3 linked regions of the Mus musculus genome follow. The protein of the gene in region 2 purifies or fractionates together with the protein of the main gene of each other region. This does not show direct contact. Links are inferred from orthologs where the notes say so. Each region holds a gene or a part of one and is shown on either strand. Other genes may lie near its edges.

Region 1 (5,398 bases), on a different chromosome or scaffold from region 2:
TGAACTGTCTATCCATCACTACTCCATACCACAAAACTGGATGAAATTCAATATTCTGGCTCTAAGAAGTAATACCCAAATACTTACCTAGACCAGTGTCTAGGTACTCAATTAGAGTAGCAACTATTTTTCCAAACCTACATCAACTGTGTTGTGTTTTTACTTCTTTCACTAACGCTAGTTTCTGGGCACTTGACTGGCCCTACCTAAAATTGGGATATAAACAAGACTCATAAATAAGACATTATAAAATTGGGGCATTGCAGTTTCACAATTAGAGCACTTAAAAAAAGAAAAAAAATTAACAATCTTTAATTATGTGTCCAGGTGACTGGGAGGCCACAAAGTGTCAGATGCCCTAGAAGTGGAGTTCCAGGTGTTTGTGGGCCACCCGATTTATGCTAGGAACTGAACTGGGGTCCTCTGAAAATGAAGTACAGGGCCTTAACCCACTGAGCCATCTCTTTAACCCCTGATTTGTTTGTTTGTTGTTTCTCTGCCCTGGCTGTCCTGGAACTCTGTAAACCTGGCTGGATTCAAATCCAGAGATCCACCTACCTCTGCCTCCCGGTGCTGGGATTAAAGGCGTGCACCAACACTGCTGCACACCATGTTATTTCTTTATAAACTGATTGCTTCCAAGTATCAGATTTACAAAAAAGTGAAAAGTAGGGCTGGAGAGGTGGCTCAGCAGGTAAGTATGCTGCTCTCACAGAGGACTCAGGTTTGATTCCCATTACCCACTCTGGGCTCACAATCATCTGTAACTCTAGTCCCAGTGGATCTCTCTTGTGGCCTCCAAGGTCACCAGGTACGCATGTGGGGCACAGCTATAATAATACGCTATATAAATGCAGGCAAAACACTCATATGCATAAAAAAAAAGTTTAAAATTTTTAAGAGAAAACTGAACGGGCTATGGAGGTACATGCCTGTCAATCCCAGCACTCATGAGGCTGAGTTGGTAAGATGACCACCTTGAGGCCAGACTGGCCGTAATGTGTACATGCTCACACACACACACTATACACACGCAAGCTGGGCACTGTGGAACATGCCTTTAATCCTAACACTTAGCAGGTCAATCTCTGAATTCCAGGCCAACAAACAAAGAAAAAACCTAAGTTCTAATTCTGCCCTTAGTCTGGTGGTTTTCTCCCCAACTTCAACCCCTCCGTTCAGTTCTCCTGCCAGCAATCCCTCCTGACTCATCTCTGCACACTTATATCCACCACTTCCTGGAAAGCCCTCCTGGACTAAGCCCATTTCCATCAAATTCTTTTCTGGATTTGTTTTTAACAGAGTCCTACTGCGTAGCCCTAGCTGTCCTGGAACGCATTACGTAGACCAGGCTCCTCTTAAACTCATGGATCTGCCTGTCTCTGCCTCTTGAGTACAAGGCTGTAAACCACGCCAAAATGCTACCAGCAAATACGCCTTAAATTTGTGATCCCTTAGCATCTTGTACCTTGTACCAGAGTCAAGCACTTGATGTTATTCCTCCCTAGAAGTTGTTTTGCATTTTCTATCATTTCCCACCGCAGAGATACAACAGGGACAGCACCTTTCACATTCTCTGTTATACAGCTAGCAGCAATAAATGCTCCTGGAATGACTTGACTCAACAGCGAAAAACGGAGCTGGTCTTGCAATTATTTCTAAAGCAAGCAACTGGCTTCTCACTTACAATATTCCATCACCTTCAACATGTATGAGTCTTTGGAGATGAGATTTAATTCTGCCTCAGTTACATCGATACGCGTGAAACGCTGCACACAAGATCGCATCTACACTTAAGGTAAAGGCTATTCACACATATGTGATGGTACCCGTTTCAGGATTCTTATAAAATGTCTACTGGTCTTGCGGCAGCACGCCTGCCAGCGATAGGAAGCTGGCACCGGGCTCTTGCAAAAGGGGCGAAACTCTAGTTGGCAGTAAAATGCTCAAACACGTGAGCCTCCACTGTTAAACAAGGCTCATTAACCTCACAAACTTGCTGTATCAGCTCTCTGCCTTCCACAAAGTGCTGTGATCTTCTCTGGTTATTGTTGAGAGCCAATGATGGGTTAAATTCCCATAAATTAACCAGTGCTTTGGTGGTTTGCCCAAGCAAACTGCTGGCATCGGTGTGGATGGATTTAATAGACCGGCCCGCCCGGGGAGCCCGAGGTGACTAAAGAAAGCGTCCAACCAACGCTTCCCAACAGGGAAAAAAAGGAGACTAAAGAACTCGAGCCGATCGCTCTCCCGGTAGTTAGTGCTTAGTGTCAGCTTATCGTGCAAGACTTAGGGGTGAGCTTCGCACGCGGCTGCTGCTCCCCCCACCCCCTAAATCTCAGCTGAGTCTCGCTAAGGGGCGGTAAAGTAACACTTCGGTGGCTGCCCAACTTTCTTCTCGCTGGACGCCTCAGTTTTTCCACACTCTGGAGCCCCACAAGAGGAGGTCTGGTGGCCGGGGCGGAGGGAACCGGCGAGCCCCGCACAGGCGTCAGGGTGGGCAGAAACAAAGTGCGCGCAGGCGAGCCCAGGCCGCCACCCCGCCGCCTCCCGCTCGGCCCCCGCTCACCCTCCAGCAGCACCTCCTTGCCCGCGCGCTTCAGCGCCTGCACGGCCTGGTCGTGGGTGGCCTGGCGCAGGTCGGTGCCGTTCACCGACAGGATGGCGTCGCCCAGCCGCAGCGCCCGGCTCTGGTCGGCCGCCAGCCCCGGGAAGATCTTGGAGATGAGGATCGGCATCCGGTTCTCGCGGCCGCCCTTGATGCTGATGCCCAGGCCGCCCGCCTCTTGCTTCACCACTCGCACTCGGCGCACGGGCGGCGAGGCGCTCGCTTCCCCCGCGGGACCGCGGGGCGGCGCGGGAGGGCTGGGCGGCCCCAGGCCACGGTTCGGGCTCCCGGGCAGAGACTCGCCGCCGCCGCCGTTCGGAAGACCGTTGAAGGCGGCCGCCGGCGGCTCAGGCTCGACTGCGGCGGCGTCGCCCGTCAGGCTCAGGCTCTCGCCACTGAGCTCGGCCACCACCCGCACCCAGCGCTCCCTTAGAAGCAGCTCCACCAGCCCCGCTTTGGTGGCCCGCGTCCACACCGCCATGGCCGGCCCTGCTCCCGCAGCCGCCGTTGCTGCAGCTCCCCCGATTCCAGTCAGGCAGCCTCGGCGCTTCCCCCTTCCCGCCCGAGGGGGGCGGACCCCTCCCCTCCCCCCGGCGATTCATTATTCATGAGGGCCACGCCCACTTTCCGGAGGGGCGGGGGGAAGGCCGGCGAGGCCGCTTCCGGGAGGCGAGGTTGTCCTGGTTCACTGAAAGCTCTTCGGAGGTGGGCAGCGCCTCGTGCAGCGAGGCACCCCGCCGTCCTTTGCTTTGGTTCTCCGTGACCTCCTCGAACTCCTCACCTCTTCTACGAGAGCTGCCCGGGCAGGGAGAGCAAAGTCAGCTTGTAGAGAGGCTCTTTGCGATCCTGCAGGGCCGGGTTGGCGCGTTCATTCTTGCATTGATTGGTTCATTGCAAAAAAAAAAAAAAAAAAAAAAAAAAGCAGCCCTGAGCGCTCAGAGGTGTGCTGGGCTCCTTTTAAGGCCCTAGAGACACACTGAATAAAATGCACCTCAGCCGAGAGAGCTTGTGGTCTAATGGGAAAGAAAAACAGAGGCAACCAGCTAGGTGTGATTCTCTGTGGTTAAAAAGACTGCAGACCTCCCTAAGAACAGGATAAAACAACATTTGGTTAGTCTTGGTGTGAGCACAAGCAGGGGACACAGCATAAGTGACATGGGATCAAAGGTGTGGATCCAAGACTTTGTCACTGCTTTTAAAAATCACCTGTCTGCTGGCCTGTAATTAGAGGGGACCTGTCTTCTTCTTTTTTTTTTTTTTTTTTTAAAGATTTATTTATTATATGTAAGTACACTGTAGCTGTCTTCAGACACACCAGAAGAAGGAGTCAGTTCTTGTTACGGATGGTTGTAAGCCACCATGTGGTTGCTGGGATTTGAACTCTGGACCTTTGGAAGAGCAGTCGGGTGCTCTTACCCACTGAGCCACCTCGCCAGCCCGGGACCTGTCTTCTTAAGCACTGGGAACCCACAGTGCGCAAGGTCAAAGACATTTGCAGCATGCTGATGTTTTAGAGTTCCCCACAGACCAACGGGTATATATAGTTAACAAAGATTGTGCGAGATTAGCCACAAGATTATGAGGCTAAACTCCACAATCTGCCATCTGCAGAAAAAGGCTCTGAATCCAAATCCAAAGACCTGAGGACTAGGTAGAAATCTGAAGCTATCAGAAGACCAGAGAGGCCTGAGGGGGCAGAAGCGGGGGAGCAGGGTCGGAGTGGAAAGCTACTATGTAAAAGCTGGCCCAGTCCATGAAAAACCAGGAGCCCTGAAGTGTGGCAGGAGAGCGATGTCCCAGTTTTCATAGAGTGAGTATACCGCGTCTTACTGTTCCCTGGCAGCCCTCACCTGATTGGATGGTGCCGGTTCCCACTGTTGAGGACAATCTTCTCTACTCAGGTCACCATGGAAAAAATTTCTTCCGGAAACAGACACACCCAGAACGGTTTTACATCTGTCCATCCAGGCAGGCGTCTTTTAGCCCAGTCAAGTGAACACACACACACACAAAAATTAACCATCTGTGATGATTCCTTAGGAAGTTGCCAATGTGAACAAGACATAAGGTTAGTGGAATTAGGTAGTGAGTGTGCAAGGCTTCAAATAACCAAGTCCTGAAGGGTTCTGTCTTGATTCTATAAGTTTGCCAGTCTTAGTCTGGGTTCCATCTTTTTTTTTTTTTTTGGCGAATATGTAGATGACCATCCAAGAAACCGTATAAAGATTTGTTAGCTAAAGAGTCAGTGATTTTGCTAATTGCAGAGCCAATAACAAGACTATATGTAATGACCATAGCAAAAAAAAAAAAAAAAAAAAAAAAAGTCTTTTAGATATGTTAAAAAAAAATGGGGCTGGAGAGATGGCTCAGCGGTTAAGAGCACTGACTGCTCTTCCAGAGGTCCTGAGTTCAATTCCCAGCAACCACATGGTGGCTCACAACCATCTGTAGTGAGATTTGATGTTTTAAACAAACAAACAAAAAATAGCTTAGTCAGGATCCCCACTATACCCAAGGCTGCACCTGATACCTGATAACCAGACCTCAATGATGTCACTTAAGATAACCAGACAGCCCAAGATCTGACGCCCACTGGACAAGCAGACAGTGCTCTGTTCTTCTCATCTGGAGAGAGGCCACTTTGACCTGCCCTGCAGCTGGAGAGTCTCCTCCTCCCACCCCCACCCCTAGGATCCTGACCCTTAAATCAGAGACTTCTGCTAGCTACTGGACCTGACCTTCAGCTAAGCTATGTAGCACAGGTGAGCAGCCTTGGGGAGATAGGCTTAG
Region 2 (5,288 bases):
CGCATGTCAGTGTTCATTCCCTAGGGACAGGACTCTAGCCCCCAACAAGCTCTAGAAGACAGTAACCAGAAAGGGCTCCGACAGCCATCTGTTGAGGACAACTGACCAATAACCACAGCACTCATTTCTACATAACCTCCTGGAGACCCACTCTGAGACCACCAGACCCCGGGGATACTAGTCAGGTTCCTTGCCTTCCCTGCCCCATCCTAGAACACACTCACCAGCTCCGCAGGGGGCAAGGCCTGACAGGATGAAGTCACCTGGAAAGAGGTGGGAGTTAAAGGCTGTGCTGGTGAAATGGGGTGCCAGGCCTCAGTAGGAAGGTGCAGGGGCTGTCACCTGATGAACAACCTCTAGCTGAGGTTCCTCTATTTAAGGGAGCCTTGCTTCTGCCTCTCGGTCTCCCACCCCTTGGGCCCCCTGCTTGTTGCTCTTGGCTCTCAGCCCCCTGCCCACACAGACCCCCATTCATCCAGCGGCAGGACAGGAGTTATATATAGAGCCAGCCAGCCAGGCAATGGCCAGGGGTGGACACTAGCCTCTTTCACCGTTGAGACCCCACCCATGGGCACAGAGCTCCCCCAAGCTAGCTTGAGGCCCTGGGACTACCCCCTGCACTGATGGAGCACCAGGAACGTTCCTCAGAGATGCAGGGCTACCTTAGGTTCTCAGTGGACAGCGGGTACCAGCTACAGGGTATTATACCTGAACAGGCTCAGCTTTCACTACCCAGGATGAGACCAACGCAGGCATCCTGAGGACCCTTTCCTCAGAGGGAAGGCACCTCCCATCAGGGTGCCTGGTCTCTGAAATCTTGCTCCCTCTCTATCCACCCCGCCCTTCCTCCCCCCGCAGCCACCCCCCCTCATCCTCTCGCCAGCTGCAGCCTGGGCACAGCACCAAGACAAACGCTGTCTCACTGTCCACCCTCCTGGGCCAACCCTCCAGGGGTGGAGTAGGGTGTTTCTTAAAGAGCCCAACACAACACCCCTGCCACCCAGGAAGGGGTGTCCAGGAGTGAGTGACAGGGGACAGGGTGACATGGTGGCCCATGCCAGTGAGGCTGAAGATGCCTGTCTGGACAGGGAAAGACACCATCTCCCCATTAGATAGAACCACATACTCACCTTTGCTTCACATTTTCTGTGTGTGGCCACCTTGCAGACTAGAGAGAGAAAGGGTAGAGGTTAGCAGAGGCTTACGGGAATAGTCAAAATAACTGTGCTCCAGCCCCACAGGCCTTAGAAGCCAGCTCTGGGACCCTGGTACACTAGGTTACTAGGAGTTGAAGAACAGAGCTGGTTATCAACAGGTTCTGCTCTGGAGTAAGGGAAGAGGGCCGGGGGTTGGGGTCTAGGATGAATAGAGGTGAGGAGGGGAAAGAGGAAGAGGAGGAAGAACAGTAGGAGGAAGAAGAGGAGGAAGAAGAAAAGGATGAGGAAGAAGAAGAGGAACAGGAAGATGAGGAGGAAGAGAAAGGGGAGGAAGAGGAAAAAGAGGAGGAGGCAGAAGAGGAAAAAGAGGAGGAGGAAGAAGAGGAAAAAGAGGAGGAAGAAGAGGAAAAAGAGAAGGAAGAGGAAGAGGAAGAAGAGGAAAAGGAGGAGGAAAAGGAAAAAGGAGGAAAAAGAAGAGGAGGAAGAAGAAAAAGAGGAGGAGGAAGAAGAAGAGGAGGAGGAGCAAGAGGAAGGGAAGACCCTAGTCACAGGTAAGGATGGGAAGGTGGTAGAGTCACAAATCTCCTGGGCTGTGGCAAGGTGGGTGTCAAGAAGAGTGAGGGCATTTGTTTCTGAATTTGCCTGTCTCTAGAGCCTGAGCCACACAGAAGTGCTGCCTGGAGGGCTCAGGCACCAAGAGCACCACCTCACCTCGGCAGGAGACACCGGTCCCATCGATGGTCACCTTACACACTGCACACACTGGAGTTTTCTTCCGGAAAACCTTCTCCCGGAAGCTGTGTGGTTCTGCTTTCCTCGGCTGCGGGTGGGATGACAGACAAATAGGGGTATGTGTTCCTAGTGGGCTCATCTCCAAGGCTGGGCAGGGACCTTTCCTTAGAGCGATGCTGCTTCCCTCTCTTCCAGCCAAAAGTCTGTGAACTCTAAGGCACACTTGGCCACAGCTGTTTCAGGGTAGTCATGAGGCCTGTCCTCTACAGGGCTTGGAATGTGACCCCTTGCGTCACCTTGGCTGGGTCAACTCCTCCCTAAGGGTTCACTCAGGACTTCTCACGTGGCGGAGCTATGTGATGTCCTTGTCACACACACCCCCACTTCCAATGTGAGGGCTTTCTGAATCTTGGCAGAGTGGGGGGTCTGACTCTCCTCCCATCTTGCCCTCCCCACAAGAGGCTTGTATACTGTGAGCTGACGGCCAGGACACACAAGCACTATCACATAATACCCAGACTGACTGCAGCCAGTTCTGAGCCCCTGGCTCTCAGTGTCCCCAAGCTCCAGGCAGCTAATATGACCCCCTCCCCCACGGTCAGAACAACATGTTTACTCTCTGTGCACTGAGGCGGCAGGCAGCAATTGTCTAAGACGTTCGCTCGGAAGGAGGAATAGCAGTGGGGACACACAGGCAGCTGCCTCGCTGCCTCTGCATGTTATGACAGGGGTGGCCAGGTTCTCCGGATGCCCCCTCCCCACCCAGAGGTAGTGAGGTCAGTGGCTGGCTGGGCTGCCACCAGTTGTCCAGGTCCCCCTTAGTCCCTACTCACTGCAAGTTTTCACTGCAGTTCTGACCCCTCCCACCCCAGTTCATCCCTCCTATCTAGAGTCTGTGGACAATCTCCCTCACTCCTCCCACCACTCCACTGCACATTCTTCACCGCTGTGTGTTCAAGCTCCCGCTGTCCCCTCCTCTCCCTGGATCTGCCCACCGTAGTGTGAAGAGGAGAATAACATGGGAGCAGCGTTGGTCCCTTAACGACTGGGGGCGAGACCCACCAGGACACTTGGACGCACTTGTGGATGATGACGTCGTGTGCAGATGACGTCAGTAGAAGGCACCCTCCCTTCCCTCATTGCCTTCTTCCCATACCTTTTCCCTCAAGCTTCCCCCGGAGGTCAGGGCTTGAGCTCTTAGCTGAACCCTCGGGGCCTATCCAGGCTCAAGCCAGGAAATACACAGAGAAGTCAAAACAGATGCTAGAATCACACTGCTACCCTACCCTAGCCACCTCAGGGGGTCAGGCGAAAGAAAGAGGAGGGGGATGCTGAGCCAGCCAGGAGAAGAGGCTGAAACTAGGAAGAGGGTCTGGTCTGGCCTGAATCCTGGCCCTCCCGCCTTGTCCGCACCTCCACCCTGCCCCACCTTTGCCCAGCTGGTGGGCACTCCTACCCTGCTGGTGGCCCGGCTGCTGTCCCTCCTCCCCAGGGCTCTGAGCAACCTTTCCACAGGGCCGCTGGACTTCATGGTGTCTGGCTGGCTGGACTCTTGGCTGCAGGGCCTGAACAATGCTGGGGCCTGGCCTGGGGCTTCCTGGAAGCAGCCTGCCGAGGCAGCCGCTTCCCTTGGGTGGAGGGGAGGCTGTCTGGCTGGTGTGTGGAGAAGCCTGGCCCTGGAAGTGGAGGGAAGTGCAGGCGGGAAGGGGGCAGGTCGCTGCTCCAGGAAGTGGGGTGGGGGAGGATGTGGGGGAGGCCAGGAGATCAGATTCCCAGGATCTACCCTGCTGGGAGTGTCAGCCTAAGATCTCTGGCTCTCCCCATCTCTGGAGCTGCCTCCCACCCAGTGGGCCACTGTGTGCAGGGGGTCTGCAGTCCTGAGATCCAGCCCTGGAATCAGCCAGTGGCACAGGGTGGGAATTCAGGTCTCAGGGCAGGGCTCAAGGGCCAGTGGAGAACACTGTGTCCCCGGCCAGTCTCTAGCCTGAACCCTCATGCTCCCTTGGGATTTCCTGTGGGAAGGGAGTGTTGCTGGGAACCAGTACCCCTGACAGCCCAGCACTCCACATCCTCAGGGTGAAAGAAAGTTAGGGATGAGGGCTAACTTCCCTGTCAGACGGGAGAAGGATCTTATAGTACCCTCCTCAACGCCAAGTTCCAGCGGGAAGGGCTAAGGGCTTACAGGAATGGTCCATCTTGCTGTAACCCAAAGCACTGGAGGTTCCTCCTGAACACCCCAGCTGCTCCTCTCCAGATACAACCCACAGTTCCTGGCTTAGCTCCCAGATCCTGCACCTGAGGTTCTACTGGGGACCCCACCCGCCCACCAGAATCTGAGCGCTACCTTCATGGCTCTTCTGGCCTGTCTCTCCTTCCTCTGTGGCTGTCACTGGACCCGAGGACTGGACAGGAGGCCCCCTCCCAACACATACTCCACCCTCTCTAGGGCCTCCTGCTTCCCTCCTGGGAATAGGGCCAACTTCCTGTCCCAGGAGTCAAGGGAAGGAGGTGTATGGGGCCCTTGGAAAGGATGGAACAACCTTCCTACAACAAGGGTCAACAGCCTGGGGGTTCCCAGCCCAAGCTCTAGACAGCAGCCTTTGGAATGCTGTAGCTAGCTGTCATTTGAAAGAATGTACACCGTGTCACCCTCATTTGCATGGTATTTACTGAATGTCCCAGTGCAACTCCTCCAGTTCTGGCACCTCTTGCAGGGTCCCACAGGACTCTCCTCTTTCTGCCTCACGCCCATCTGACAGATGAAGGGCTGCTCTAGTCCTCCCCAGGGATCCTTCAGAAGACCTGTCAGACTGAAGAGTCTGAGGCCTCTTCCCGCTGCATGCCTGTTCTCTAGGAAGCCCATCGTTGCCAGTGTACCCTGGCTAGAAGGCCCTGTGAGTGGCAAGGGGTGGGGCACCGTGCTGTAACTGGAGAGGGCCCCTGGCTCTGCAATCCCCACCTGAGTTCTGGCTGTGTCCCAGGACATTCCAGGCCGATGGCCAGGTGGGCAACCGGGGCTGTCCTGATTCCGCACCCAGCCCTGCTGGGGAAGATGGATCACTGCAGCGCCTCCCCTGATCAATTTTTTTTCCCCTCTGCTCCTATGGTACATGGGCCTACATCTGCAACCTCTGGTGGGACTGAAAGTCTTTTCCTCTGGAACAGGTTCCCAAACAGCCTCTGCCCTCACTGAACTTACACTGCCCACCTAGATCTAGAAAGTTAAGTGTCTAGTTGGCTCTGCGCGTCCCCACCGCAGGGAGTGTGGAGTATTTCTGAAAGTAGCTGAGGGCAAACAGTGCCTGAGGAATGGCAGCATTACCAGATCCTCACCTCCCACCTCCTGCCTGGAATATTCCAGAGCTCTTTTGATTCTCCCCAGCCGGGCCCCCTCTCACT
Region 3 (5,623 bases), on a different chromosome or scaffold from region 2:
GGTGTGTGTTTACGTTGTTATTTTATGTGTACGAGTGTTTTGCCTGCGTGTATGCATGCACACTGTGTGAGTGCCTGCTGTCCTCAGAGATCAGAAGAGAGCATTAGCTACCCTAGGAGTTACAGAGGGTTGTGAGCCACCATATAGGCTGTGGGAATGAACCCAGGTCACCTAGAAAAGCAACAAGTGCTCTTAACCACTGACTCATCTTCCGGCTCCCACCGGCAAGCTTTTAAAGGGTACTTTTCACATCAACAGCCTCCTGTATCATAATCACTTAACAATACCTCATAGCACCCTCCATGTTTGTAATGTTTATATACACTCACATCCACACACCTCAATATCATCACTTCTTATGAACACGTCGCTGCTTCAGTCATGCGCTCTATCTTAATTACCTCCACTGGGATGCTGCGTCATCCACACAGCTGTGCGACCCCAGTAAGGAGACAGTAAGTTCCTAGCTATTTCTAGAGTTATTTGACTAAGAACACAGACTTTAAATAAAATAGTAACAACCTAAGAACTGGCGGTCATTTCTAAACACTCTAGGCAACAATGACCTAACTCATGTCCAAATTGGATTTTTATGGTGCTTTCTCTCTCTCTCTTTTTTTCTATTGTAAACAGTGCTACAGTCAACTTCTTAAATGTACATTTATATCCTCTGCCTAGGAAGAAACTCTATAAGCAGAGTCATTCGAACAGTTGATGTTCCCTATTTAAAAAAAGCAGCACGGAAGGTTGGCAAAATGGCTCAGCAAGAAACCCAAGTTTGGTCTCCTGGATGCACGTGGCACATCACAGAAAGCTGACATTTGTCCTCTGACCCCCACTGGCGTGCTGTGGCATGAGCATCCAAACCCCCATGTACACACCAATGAGAAAGTAAATGAAATAACACTTGTCTTCCTTAGGGTTCTATTGCTGTAAAGAGATACAATGACCATGGCAACTCTCATAAAGGGAAGCATTTAACTGGGGCTGCCTTACAGGTTCAGAGGCTCAGTCCATTATCATCATGGCAGGAAGCACAGCAGCATGCAGGCAGACCAACATGGTGCTGGAGGAGCCATCTTGATGCACAGGCAGCAGAAGAAGACCGTGTGCCACACTGGGTGTCGCTTGAGCACAAAAGAGCTCAAAGCCCGTCCTAACAGTGACACATTTTCTAATAGTGCTACTCCCTATGGGTCACGCACTCAAACATTGAGTCTATGGGGACCATAGCTATTCAAACCACCACAATATTTTATAAACAAACTATCTTAACACCAAAAAGTATACACTGTAACAAATTACCCCCAGCCATGTATGGACCTTACTAACTTTATAAATAGCCATTTTAAATTTAAGAAATAGTTTGGAAGTGTGGATACTCAGAATATACTCTAAAAGTTAAATTTTTCCATAAAACTATTTTCTAGTGGACAAAGACAGAGAACCAGTGACAAATATCTAAAGTCTTTTTTTTAGTGTATTTTATTTACTATTGATGTATATGTGTGTCTGCGCACATGCCAATGTGCACGTATGGAGTAAGAGGACAGTTTCTGTGGAAAGGGTTCTCTCCTCTCCCTTTCTTTACTGGGGTCCCGAGAGCTGAGCGCGGATCACTAGGCTTCGACAGCATTTACCCACGCAGCCACCTTCCTACCCCAGAATCCAAGGTCTTCTGTAATAAAGGTTGATTCGGGACGATGCGAAGGATCACCTGGCCTCACAAGTTATAGACTCTGAGACGTACAGAGACATCTAGCTGTCTCTCTTCCACTTTCCTGTCACTTTCCACATCTCTACATATGAATTCTGTACCCCTAAAATGACATTTAGGAGATCACAGTGAATACACCACACAACATGCCGACGCACTTCCCAAAGAGTCCTTAAAGCTACAAAAACCACTGCATAGTCACAGCCTTATCTGTAACATCCAGACGTTTCACAGACCAAGCACAACCAGCATCACGAAGGGCAATGCATATCCTACTGAGATCTCATTTCCTGCACGTATTTTAGCAGTTTCGACTAAGAAATGAACTCTTACCATAACACACAGACATTTCCAACAGGAAATATCACCTTTGAGTTCTATTCAATGTTGTTGTTGTTGTTGTTGTTGTTGAAGAGTGACACGAAGGAATGTTTATAATGCTGGAGTTACAAAAGGACAATGCTCACACCCAGGTGAGAACTCTATATAATTTTCCCAGCTTAAAAAGGCCATGCTTGCTCAAAAATATCTCCCCTTTGAGCCTGTCTCGGAACCATGTTTGAAGCTCTTTTAAAAATACAGAAATTTTCATTCAGTGGGTTTGGAGCAGAGCCAACACATCTGCATTTGTAAAAAAACTCCCAGTTGATTCATTTGGAGAGCCAGAATTGAAAAGCAGTGGTTATATAATAAGCTGGGGGTGGGGTGGCATCCAAAGACCTCCAATCCGAATGTTCACATGAAAGTCATTCGTCGGTCTTAGTCTGGCTGATTTGATCACACTGGGGAAGACTGTATCTTTAGAAACTAACATTTCTAAAAGGAAAGAGAAGGTCACATGCCAGTGTTAGCATCCAACAGCAATTAGCAGGTGGGCAAAAGGTTAAGGAATCCCACCACAAAATGATCTTTCCACCAGAAACTATGGTATTCGCTACTCTAAGCATGTGATTCCTTTCCGTTTTCAGGTAATAAGGGTAAATGTTAGACTAAGCTTGTCTATCTTATTGACATCATAACTGCGCAGCATCAGTTATGCTGTAGGCAGGAGTTTCTCCCAGTAAAACTACTGCACACACAATGTAACAAAGGCAAGCTGGGAGTGTAAGATAGGCCACACAGAGACTGGAGATTGCCTTTCACAGAGCAATAGTCACTCACGGCTCAGAATTCAGTTTCTCAGAAGTTTACTTAACAAGAACAATGCACAACAAGCTAAGAAATCTCTGTCTTCAACACAGTCTATACAGAGGGCTCCACAGTGATGCATCCATTACTCACCAGATCTGGACTTAATGATGTCACTGAATTCGTTCTGCCCATCATCAGGCCTGGCTTCAAGGTCCCCATACTTGGCCATCTTGAATGAGTTTCAGTATAATCCAAAGGCTTTCCCAGATCCTCTTCTGAAGGCTAAATCTGAAAAATGGTCCAGGCTAGCATGAATACCTAACAGGAAAAGAGAAAGTATTGAGTAGAAATACAGAAACATATTCCTTATTTGTTTTTTCCTTTGCTTCTGGCACAGGTCTGTGTGTGCACATGTGAAAGGGGTGGGTGTGCATGTACATGTGTGCATGTGCACGTGGAGGTCAGAGGCTGACACTTGGGTGTCTGCCTCAACTGCTGCTCTCTACCTTTTATGTTAAAGCAGGGTCTCTGTTTGAACCCCAGGGTTCCCCTGAACTCACATCCCACGTGCTGGGATTACAAACAGGCTGCCAAATGTGCCGGGCATCTGCACGGATACTGAGGTGGGGTGTCAAGTACTTAACTGCTAAGCCATCTCCAGCCACATATAGTCTAAGACACAGTTACGGAGTGGCTTCCTGAGCACATCCACATGAGGCTTTATTTAGCACAGCCTCTTCCACGTGAGTGAGGCTTATGGACACCGAGCTTCACGGATAAAATGAAATTCACTCTATAATCAATGACCTCATTACAACCCTGATGACTGACAGCAGTCCGGAAGAGAAAGATAAAGTCATAAAGTCATAAAGTGGACGAGTCACACCTGCCCAGGGCCACTGAGAAGGCCTTCCTAAGCAATGACATTTGGGTCTATCCTTCAAGGAGAGGAAGAAGTTCACTAGCTACAGGGCAAGTAGAAAAGAGAAGAGCTTGGTATGTGAAATATTAGCGCCGCTGAGAACTGGGAGGCAGGGGGCTAAGTCCTGCTTTTGGGAAGCACGTCACACAGCCGAGGAAGAAAGCTGGGGCCAGAGATTCCTAGAGAGGCTTGGATACCTGTCTGAGGAGAAGGACAATCAGAGAGGTGACATAAGCCCGTTCACACCATGGCTTGTCAGTAGACCAGAGTAACTCAGGAAGCACCAAGGACTACAGTACATTAGAGCAGTGCTCTCATTAAAGAACTTAGGCCGTGAGAAAGGAGATGTCGAATGGAAACATTTCAGCTCTTCTCTGCATCTGAAATTGTTTCATGCTACTGCGTTAGAGAAAAATAATCCCACGCTTGACCAGACTTTACAAAAGCATCAATGGGGCCTCAGGTGATAAATGGAATCACAGCGCACCCTCTGTTGAGTATCTCTGTCTGTCGGAGAATCAATCATGAGGCTTATCATGGGCACACAAATTGGAAGAGGCTATCAAAACAAAAGGCCTAGGGAATTAGGAGATGGGTCTGTGGGTAAAGAGCCTACTGCACAATCATGGGAACCTGACTTCAATCCCTCGAATTTTATAAAAATAAAAGAGGGAAGCAAGCATGGGCATGTGCCAGCAATGCCTGTTTCCAACTACTTCCTCTGGAAACAAAGGATCATAGCCAACCAGCGAGCCCCAGGTTCAATGAGAGATCCTGTCTCAAAAATAAGGCACTATGCCAATCTCTGGCCTCCAAACTATAATACACACAAACAACACACACATCCCACAGGCCCAGTGTCACTCAAACAAAAACCACCCAAAGAAAGGTAGTTTCTTCATGGATTAAACAAAACAAAAGAGACCTGACCACCAAATACTATCCTGGGTTGAATTTTCAAAGAAAACATTTTAGGGTTTACTTTAGGCAATATTATTATACCAATGTTACACTGCAGGATTAGTTAGCAGCGATGTTAGGGAGGAGGATATCTTCCATTGTAGGAGACACTATGAAGTCATTAGTGAGAAGTATGACAGGATCTTCGACGTCTATGCATTTATATATATACAAATCGATACGCACAAGCATACATGCAAAGATACACACAGGCAGAGGAAGTAAATGTTATAAAGAAAATACGAGCAGCTCTGTATCTGTTGTGCTAATCTCTCTGTTATAACGCTGTTAATATAAGCAATATGTGATTGTGGCCTCAATGGATTAGATGGAAAAAAAATAAATAGATACACAGGATATTAAATAAAAGGTCAATAAGACTCAGGGACAGCCCTGGCATTAGAGACGCAGGATACTAGCATGCTGAGTGACTCAGCTGGCACAGGGCAGCTCAGAAGTAGACGAACTACTACTCGGTTGGGAACCGCTGAGGACATTACAGAGAAGAATGGATGCGGTTTGGATTTTCTCAGTGTAAGGTGCTTCTGAGACACAGAAAGAGAAAGGGAGCATTCGGGAAATACGGATCTGGACCTCAGGGGTGGTACGGCTTGTAGATGTATGTAGAAATGTAGATAGCCATGTTGCCCACTGATAAAAACTTCATTCTGGAAGGGTCATGACACCAATTCTGCTGTACATGGGTAGGTACCACTCAGATAAAACAATCCAATCTTCAGTAACTGTGAGAAATATCTCCAGGGCCTAAAGATCTGAAGATCTGCCCTGCAGGAGCACCCGTTCATTAAGAACGCCAGCAAACACTGCTCCTCTCTGCTCCCGAGCTTCCTGGATTACACTGCCCAGAGAGGAGCCAAGCTCAGTCTCTCAGC

The links.
Region 1: the proteins of Tns2 (region 2) and Sntb2 purify together in Homo sapiens (affinity purification with mass spectrometry; 4 studies listed by BioGRID and IntAct, with this or other methods). This does not show direct contact. The link is inferred for Mus musculus from reciprocal best matches to the Homo sapiens genes TNS2 and SNTB2.
Region 3: the proteins of Tns2 (region 2) and Utrn purify together in Homo sapiens (affinity purification with mass spectrometry; 4 studies listed by BioGRID and IntAct, with this or other methods). This does not show direct contact. The link is inferred for Mus musculus from reciprocal best matches to the Homo sapiens genes TNS2 and UTRN.

The regions. Positions count from the first base shown.
Region 1 is NC_000074.6:106,933,493-106,938,890, reverse strand, and holds the start of Sntb2 (beta-2-syntrophin), read right to left. Parts: upstream 3,152-5,398; 5' UTR 3,090-3,151; coding exon 2,570-3,089; intron 1-2,569. UniProt on the Homo sapiens protein: Adapter protein that binds to and probably organizes the subcellular localization of a variety of membrane proteins. May link various receptors to the actin cytoskeleton and the dystrophin glycoprotein complex.
Region 2 is NC_000081.6:102,101,219-102,106,506, reverse strand, and holds the start of Tns2 (tensin-2), read right to left. Parts: upstream 3,574-5,288; 5' UTR 3,421-3,573; coding exon 3,346-3,420; intron 1,978-3,345; coding exon 1,869-1,977; intron 1,169-1,868; coding exon 1,131-1,168; intron 264-1,130; coding exon 225-263; intron 1-224. UniProt on the Homo sapiens protein: Tyrosine-protein phosphatase which regulates cell motility, proliferation and muscle-response to insulin. Phosphatase activity is mediated by binding to phosphatidylinositol-3,4,5-triphosphate (PtdIns(3,4,5)P3) via the SH2 domain.
Region 3 is NC_000076.6:12,858,570-12,864,192, forward strand, and holds the start of Utrn (utrophin), read right to left. Parts: upstream 3,167-5,623; 5' UTR 3,078-3,166; coding exon 2,999-3,077; intron 1-2,998.